Rattus norvegicus: one gene and its partner. The protein of the gene in region 1 purifies or fractionates together with the protein of each later gene. This does not show direct contact. Links are inferred from orthologs where the notes say so. Each region holds a gene or a part of one and is shown in the gene's direction. Other genes may lie near its edges.

Region 1 (4,366 bases):
ACAGTGGCATAATATGGGCCAACAATGTGTTCTGTGGGAAGCGTGGGCTGGAGTTGAGCTGTGCCCTGCCCCTCCTAGGTGTACATGTACCAGCTCTTCCGGAGCTTGGCCTACATCCACTCCCAAGGTGTGTGTCACCGTGACATCAAGCCCCAGAATTTGCTTGTGGACCCTGACACTGCTGTCCTCAAGCTCTGCGACTTTGGCAGGTAGGTCTGACCTGCAGCCTGTGGAGTGCCTGAAGGGATCAAAGATCCTTGAGTTTGGTTTCATGCTTAACCCTGCCCATCTCTTCCCACAGTGCAAAGCAGTTGGTTCGGGGGGAGCCCAACGTGTCCTACATCTGTTCTCGGTACTACCGTGCTCCGGAGCTCATCTTTGGAGCCACAGATTACACCTCGTCCATCGGTCAGTTAGGGGAGGGGCTGGGGAGTGACAGGCTTGGCGATTAGGCCCTGCCTGCCTTCTGTCCTTGACTGGTCCTCCCAGGCTGAGGCTGGAACTGCCGCATCTCTTTAGAGCAGCTAAACAGTAGAAAGGACAGAGCACTGCTCAGGACAGGGCTGGGACTCCATATCTGACTTGGCTCCAGAGTCCACCTCCACTTAGAGACTCCCAGTGAGCCTCTGTTCTCAGTTCGAGGGAAGGGGTGGGCAGTAAGTAGCATAAGGGCATGGCCTGCTCTCAGGGCCTGTCCTTTCTGTTTCCGAGCATGGCATTACCCTCTTCCAAGCTTGAGGGGAAGGCTGAGATGGGAGTGTGTACATGGAAGGAAGGGTTGAAGGAGGATGTCAGTCAGTCTGAGGAGCTGGTGAGGTCCTCAGGTGTGAACTTGTACCAGTGCAGGTCAAGGTACAGAGCAGGGAGGGGTGAGCAGGCCAGAGGCCAGGTGGTAACAGCTAGTTCAGGATAGGTGGTTTCCTTCTGGCCCAGAGCACGCATGTGCCAGTTGGCAGGGCCAGGCCTTGTGCCAGTCCAGAAAAGTAAAGAATGTTCAAAGGATTCCTCGGGATCACTCACCAAGGGCATGAGGATGTGAGCGTATCTGGACTGGAGAGCACATCTGGGCCAGGCACCTTCTGTGAGACAGCGCTGCTGCAGTGCCTCTGGGATAGCTGTGAGAAGCGGTGTTGGTGAAGGGGTCGGCTTGCTGGCCTTGGCCGTCTAGTGCTTACCTCCATTCTTCCTTCCCCTTCAGATGTGTGGTCAGCTGGCTGTGTACTGGCTGAGCTGCTTCTTGGCCAGCCCATCTTCCCTGGGGACAGTGGGGTAGACCAGCTTGTGGAGATCATCAAGGTGAGGACGGGGCAGGGCCAGGGCGAGGGAAAGCAGGGGTGGGCTAAGGAAAGGGCCTTTGTTTCAAACCCTCACTGTCCTTTCCAGGTACTAGGGACGCCAACCAGGGAGCAAATCCGAGAGATGAACCCTAACTACACAGAATTCAAGTTCCCCCAGATCAAAGCTCACCCCTGGACAAAGGTAGGGGCAGAAATACGGGCTTGCATGGCATGGCTGAAGGTTGGATCCCCTTGTAGACCAACTGCTCTGGAGACCTGGTTTAAAAACCATGGTTTGAGGGGTTGGGGATTTAGCTCAGTGGTAGAGCGCATGCCTAGCAAGCACAAGGCCCTGGGTTCGGTCCCCAGCTCTGAAAAAAAATAAAATAAAATAAAAACCATGGTTTGCAGAGCTGGAGAGCTGGCCCAGAGGCCAAGGGCACTTGTTACCCTTACACAGGGCCTGGGTTTGGGTTCCAGCACTCACAGCCACCTGTAAGCCAGTTTCAGGGGATCCTTACAGGCATGCATGTGTTAACACAAATGTGCACAAGCAAAGCTTTCATATACATAGGTAAACATTGAAAAATAGAAATATGGTGGGGGTAGTCTCTGAAGTTATCCAGGGAGGCAGTCAACACTTTGAGATTGTGAAGTTTATAGAATTTTAAAAATTGAGAACTCAGAGGTAAATACAAGATTCCCATTTATATGGTGGCACGTACGCATTAGGACTCACAAGTCATGGACCCTGAGCCAGCACCCATCTCATTGTGTCGGTCTCCTTACCAGGGAGGTGGGTGTCTGGGAAGCAGGCTGCCACAGGGGAGCACATGACACGGTGTCACAGCACCTCGCCCCTCTGCATTAACCCACAGGTGTTCAAATCTCGGACACCACCTGAGGCCATCGCACTCTGCTCTAGCCTGCTGGAGTACACTCCATCCTCAAGGCTCTCCCCACTAGAGGCCTGTGCCCACAGTTTCTTTGATGAACTGCGGAGTCTCGGAACCCAGCTCCCCAACAACCGCCCGCTTCCCCCCCTCTTCAACTTCAGTCCTGGTGGTGAGCATAGCTGGGGCCAGTGGAGGTGTTGGGGATGTGGAGAGGCTTGGTGTTGAACAAGACTGGGGAGCTAAGAGGGTACAAGGTGGTCCTGGGCTCAGCTAGGTGTCTCCACATTGTGGCTGCATACCAGGCCTTTTCTACTTTTCCACCTAAGAGTCCTGTGGCTAAAGATTCCTCCACCTGGCCTTGCCAGTATCTGGGTCCTTGTTTGGTTCCTCATCCTAACCTTAACTGGCTTTCCATAGCCTTGCCTCTCCTTAACTGGGGATGTCAATTTTGTCTCTAGAACTTTCCATCCAACCGTCTCTCAATGCCATTCTCATCCCTCCTCACTTGAGGTCCCCATCAGGCCCTGCTACCCTCACCTCGTCCTCACAAGGTAAGCTGGGGAACATGTGTAGAGGGGTCGAGCGGGGGTTGTTCTTGGCTTCTAGCATTTTCTGTGGGTTCTGAGCTGTTGACATCTGACAGCATAAGAGGCATATTTTACAGTATGTCAGCAACCAGCTTTATAGGGTGATATTGCCCACAGTTGTGTTTAAATGCCAGCTGGAAGTCCAAACATTTCTTTGGTCTGAACAAATAAACAAAAAGTTGCCCACATTTAAAGATTGGGCCATTCTGGGTAAAAACCCAGATTTCCTGTTTCTTAGGGGAAAGAAGGTCAGGCTTGGCAGCCATGGGTCTGCCCTTCTCCTGACAGCAGCTGGAGCTGTTTCCAGTGCCCCTTCCCTCCATGGAGCCTGGCTCCTTGTTAAGCCACTTCAGTGTCAAGCTGGTCCTTTGGCATCAGTTTGTAACCCTGAGCCCAGAGTGACAGCTGTCACTCTTGCATAGTGTTCTGAAGCAAGTTATTCTCGTGGGCATGGGGTGTGATGCAAAGGCCAACTGTCCCTCCTTCCCTCTCCTCCTTCAGCTTTAACTGAGACTCAGACTGGCCAAGACTGGCAGGCACCTGATGCCACACCTACCCTCACTAACTCTTCCTGAGGGCCCTACCGACTACCCCTCCACGTCCATCTGGGAAGGCTCAAGTGGGGCTGGGAAGGGGGCCATAGCCCATCCAGCTCCTGCCCTGGCTGGGCCCCTAGACTGAGGGCAGAGGTAAATGAACTACCCAGCATCTAGGCCTCCCTCACCAGCCTCACCTTTGTGGTGGGCTTTTTAAAGAGGATTTTAACTGTTTGTGGGGGAGGGAAGGGAAGAGAAGGACGGACGGGGTTTGGGGGTATGAGGACCTTCTACCCCCGTGGTCCCCTCCCCTCCCCCAGGCTACCACTCCTCCCCCCCCCCCTCCCATGTCCCTTGTAAATAGAACCAGCCCAGCCCGTATCCTCTTCCTGGCCCCTTGGGTGTAAATAGATTGTTATAATTTTTTTCTTAAAGAAAACGTCGATTCACACCATCCAACCTGCCCTCCCCCTCAGCTGTACCCCCCTCTTGTCCTCTGCTCCCAAGGCTTCCTCCCTCTCCCCATCCCAAGGAGGGGAGTAGGGAGAGCCCCTGGTGTCTTAGTTTCCACAGTAAGGTTTGCCTGTGTACAGACCTCCGTTCAATAAATTATTGGCATGAAACCCTTCTTCCTGTCTGGCTGCCTATTTCCACAGAGGTGGGGGTTCAGGGTTTGGAATGAGTTCCACCTCAGTTAGGGGGACTTGTCAACCACAGATGTGGAGCCCACCCATTTCCTGGCACAAACTATCTGTCAGTGGCAGAAATGATGCACACCTGGGCGCTCAGTGCAAGACCTGGGGGGACGAGTCTCAGGCTGCACATCTAATTGCCTGTAGACTTGGTGGCACAGGTATATATGTGCATAGGCAGATTCCCAAGGCTTAAGGTACCCTGTCTGAAGCATGGGACCCACTTGCTTTACTTCTTAGGGGGTATTGGGAAGTGGCAACCTTGGGAAGGTGGAGGTTGAGAGTTTAGCCTTTCTTCTCTCCCTCTCTGGTTTTGAGCTGGTCTTCGGTATAGCTCAGGCTCGTCTGGAACTCAAGATCATCTTGCCTTAGGATCCC
Region 2 (4,366 bases), on another chromosome or scaffold:
AGTTGAGCCAGCCCGGACTGCATAGTGAGACTTTTCTTAAAACACGAGCAAAAAACTGCTGGAAGCTTGATATGATAGGTCATGTACTTGGGAAAGCAGAGATAAAACCAGTACAAGTTCATCAGCCAGAGCTAAATCTCTGCCTCAAGAAAATCTTTTAATTGTTTTAAAGAATAATAGAAGAATATGTTTATGACCTAAAATTAAAAGGCCTGTGTGTGCTCAATACAAAAAGGGACCAGGTATGGTGGTACAGTCCTGTAATCCCAACTACTCAGGAAAACTAAGGCAGGATCATGCATTCAAGTGACCAGAGTAAGAGGGCCTTGACTGTAAGAAAAAGTATGTTTAGGGAGAAAATATTTTGCATGCACTACTTATATAGATAAATATTAATATATATTAATTATAACACACACACAGTAAAAATACGTCTGGAGGGCTGGAGAGACGTGACTCAGTGGTTGAGAGCAGTAACTGCTCTTGCAGAAGACCTTGGCTGGGTTCCTGGCACCTCAACAGCAACTCACCACTGTCTCTAACTCCAGCTCCAGGAGATTCAGTATTCTCTGGATTCCATGGACACTAGGCATGCATGTAGTATACACGAGTGCATGTAGGCCAAACACAACGTGACAGGGTTCCCCCCCCCCTTTTGTTGTTTTTCATTGGTTGGTTGGGGTTTTTTTGTTTGTTTGTTTGTTTTTGAGACATGGTTTCTCTGTGTAGTCATGGCTGTTCTAGAACTTGCTCTGTAGACCAGGCTGACCTTAGACTTAGAGAGATCCACCTGGCTCTGCCGCAGAGATGTGTGTCCCCACACCTGACTGAGGCAGGTTCTCTGTGTAGCCCGGACTTCCTGGAGCCCACTTCTCTGCTCTCTGCAAAGCTTGCCAGGCTTGCCCTGCACTTACAAGATCACCTGTCTCTAGGAACTGGCTCTGTAGACCAGACTGGGTTTAAACTCATAAGATATCCACCTGCTTCTGCCTCCAGAGTTGTGAGATTAAAGGCATGTGCCACAATGCCTAGCTAATTTTTTTTTAACTTGAAAACTTGTAAAGTGTTAAAACAACAACAACAACAACAAAATAAAAATTCCAAAATGTAACAAATCAGCTAGTAGGCAAGTGCCAAATGCTGTAGAGAGATGAAGAGAAAAATAAGTATAGCAAAGTGCCCTTACAGAAAATTCAGGTTATGTTTCTTGTTTTTGGCCAATCACAGAGCAACAATCAGACTCTGTTACTTTAGTAGTGGGGCTTTGATCTTCTTCCCACACCAACCAGCAACAGATTTCATTTGTGTTTTTTGTCCATGGAACATCATGATGCCTGACACCCAAGGACTTGAATTAGAGTCCTGGTGGCTCTGGCTGGCTGATCCAGAAAAACCTATTGAGTTGGGCCAGAAGTGGGTTACTTTGTAGTTGTAACAAAGATAATGGTTTCTTTTTTCTTGTGCTCTTTAGTAGAAAGATGGAGTATTGTCCGCTACCCAAGTGATATGCTGTGTTTATGTACCTAAATGCCTTTTAAAAAAAGAGGAAACATCTAGAAAGAAAGAGTTTAGACCTCTTTCATCCCTTCCTTGGAATTGGGAAAGATGGAAAGAGGGGAAGAGGAAGGGGATGGAGGCACGTGATCTTCTGCTCTGTTTCAGATAACTGACTGTGTGTTAAAACAGAATAATTGCTCTGCTGCCACTCACTTGCCTTTCTTATTCACAGGTATGGATCTTGGAGGGAGCCTGTCAACCCCTACTATGTCAACTCTGGCTATGCCCTGGCCCCAGCCACCAGTGCCAATGACAGTGAGCAGCAGAGCCTGTCCAGTGATGCTGACACTCTATCCCTCACGGACAGTAGCGTGTAAGTCCCATGCGTGCTTGCTGTGTGCTTCAGTGTTCTCTGCTGATCTAACAGGCTGCTCCTTACTGATTGATGCTCTCAGAGCTTGACTGAGTTGTTCCTAAGGAACAGACATGAAGCTGGCCACGGCAGAATATATTTGTAACGCCAGCACTGGGGAAGCTGAAGCAGCCTTGCCATGAGTGCCAGGTCAACCTGGGCCAAGAATGAGACTGTGTCAAAACACAAACCCTAAAAATAATGACAGACTGCCCTATAAGTGCTTATTCTTCAAAACCTAGCCCAAGGGCCAAGGTGTAATTCAGTGGAGGTCCTGGTTCAGTCCCCAGCACAATAGCAACAAAAGCGGTTTAAAAATCCTGGAACAGAATCCAACCTACAGATGAAGTTTGTATTAGCTGACAGTCTTGGAGGCCGCAGCTTCCTGCTGCTTTTAAGAGTAGTGGACTCAGAGTTACAGCTGCCTGTAAGAAACTTGCGGTTTGTTTTCTCCTAGCTATAGAATGGGGATTTCAGTGAGAAGACAGACACAGGGAACAATCAGACCAGGCGGTCTTCTCTCCTGGGAGCCATCAGTCTGCATAAATGGGTTTCTTGCCTGTGTTGTTCTTCCCTGCATCTTTTTATGATACAGACTCTTGATAGATCATGAATGGTCTGGATCAGCTGGGGAGCCTGCGTTCTGTACTAAGACTAGTTCCCTGAGAGCCTAAGTTCCAAGCTATGGAGGCAGATCTTTCCCTCCACATCCCTGATATGATCACAATTAGGAACTTGTTTTGTCTTGTGTGGTCACATTCCCAAAAGCCCTTGTAGGGTGGACCTGTCCTATGAACCCCTTCCTGTGGGTGGCTTTTTGGAGCCTTGGTGACTATTAAATAATTAAACTAAATAATTGAGTGGCATAAAACATTTTGTTGAATTGACCATCCAGACCCAAGGTTCCTGGGGTTCTGACTTGGTCATGTTTGGGCTGAGCTTAACCCCATGCCTGTGCTTCCTCCAATCCTAGTGTTGCTCTAGCTTGTGCTCATTACTTGTGATCAGAGCCAAGTCTTCCAATTGCTAGATGGCTCTTAATTCATGACTGCATAGGGTCCCCAAAAGGGTTCTTGGCCCAGTTCAGCAGTTCTGCCCTGATTTAAAATTTCATTTTTTAAAAATTTATTTTGGGGGTTGGGGATTTAGCTCAGTGGTAGAGCGCTCACCTAGCAAGTGCAAGGCCCTGGGTTCGGTCCCCAGCTCTGAAAAAAAGAGAAGAAAAAAAAATTTATTTTGGCTCACACCTTGTAATCCCAGCACTTGGGAGACAAAGGCAGGTGGATCTCTGAGTTTAAGGCCAGCCTGGTCTGCCCAGTGAGTTCCAGGACAGTCTGAGCTATATAGTAAGACTCTGTCTTAAAATACATACATACATACATACATACATACATACATACATACATACATACATACATACATTTTGTTTCTACATGTATGTATTTGTGCCATGTGTGTCTGGTACTCTTGAGGGCAGATCAGAATGTCATATCTTCTGGACGTGGAGTTCTATATAACCACTGTGTGGAAGCTGGGTCCTCTGGAAGGGCTCTTAAACCACAGGGCTGATTCCACAGCCCCCTAAATTTTTTAAAAAATTTATTGTGAAGTAAAAAAGAGTATATAAGTGCATGTGTGTGCCATAGCACATGTGAAGGTCAGAGGGCAACTCTAGGGAGTTGGTTCTCTGCTGTCCCTTGTGGTTTTTAGGGATTGAATTTAGGTCATCAAGCCTATGGTGCTCCAAAGGGCCTCTACCTACTTGCTGACACTGAATCTGGAGATCCTGATTCAGTAAAACTAACTGACCAATGAGCACCAGAGACTGTTCAACACTAGGATTATAGGTATATACTACCATGCCCAGATTTGTTTTGTTTTTTTAAGTAGATGCTGGGGTGTAAGCACTTCACATCTAAGCCATCTTATCTGCTCAGCCACCTTATGGCTTAATTAGTAAGGGGGAGAATATTCCCTAAATATTTTAGACAGGAAACCAGCTGGGCAAACTTCAAAACTTTTCGTTTCCATGTCTGATGTCAAACTGGTCTTTAGCTCTCCAGTTCCTTTTTCATGTTTGTTGACTGTAACAAACTTCTTTCTCCTGGGCTGGTTGCACTCTCTGTTAGCAGCTTTCCTCAGCAGACACAGCTCATGGCTCTGGCATCTCAAACATCTTGGGGTCTCCAAGGCAACTTCAATGTTACAACTTTTTTTTTTTCTTTTTTCTTTTTTTCGGAGCTGGGGACCGAACCCAGGGCCTTGGGCTTGGTAGGCAAGGGCTCTACCACTGAGCTAAATCCCCAGTCCACAACTTCTTGTTTCAATGTCTGGGATCCACACATGATCTTCTGGGCTCCTCCAAAAGACTGGTGCTCTGCTCTCTGTAGCACACTAAGCTCAGGTTGACCCACTCCACTGCTGCTGCTGTTCTTGGTGATCATCCCATGGTACTGG

Evidence for each region. The genes of interacting proteins can lie anywhere in the genome.
Region 2: the proteins of Gsk3a (region 1) and Axin1 purify together in Homo sapiens (affinity purification with mass spectrometry; 12 studies listed by BioGRID and IntAct, with this or other methods). This does not show direct contact. The link is inferred for Rattus norvegicus from reciprocal best matches to the Homo sapiens genes GSK3A and AXIN1.

What each region holds. Positions count from the first base shown.
Region 1 is NC_086019.1:89,943,222-89,947,587, reverse strand, and holds the end of Gsk3a (glycogen synthase kinase-3 alpha), read left to right. Parts: intron 1-78; coding exon 79-209; intron 210-301; coding exon 302-408; intron 409-1,198; coding exon 1,199-1,296; intron 1,297-1,383; coding exon 1,384-1,479; intron 1,480-1,918; exon of another isoform or gene 1,919-2,155; coding exon 2,156-2,342; exon of another isoform or gene 2,343-2,631; coding exon 2,632-2,724; exon of another isoform or gene 2,725-3,261; coding exon 3,262-3,335; 3' UTR 3,336-3,919; downstream 3,920-4,366. UniProt on the Homo sapiens protein: Constitutively active protein kinase that acts as a negative regulator in the hormonal control of glucose homeostasis, Wnt signaling and regulation of transcription factors and microtubules, by phosphorylating and inactivating glycogen synthase (GYS1 or GYS2), CTNNB1/beta-catenin, APC and AXIN1.
Region 2 is NC_086028.1:15,698,610-15,702,975, forward strand, and holds part of Axin1 (axin-1), read left to right. Parts: intron 1-1,729; coding exon 1,730-1,870; intron 1,871-4,366. UniProt on the Homo sapiens protein: Component of the beta-catenin destruction complex required for regulating CTNNB1 levels through phosphorylation and ubiquitination, and modulating Wnt-signaling.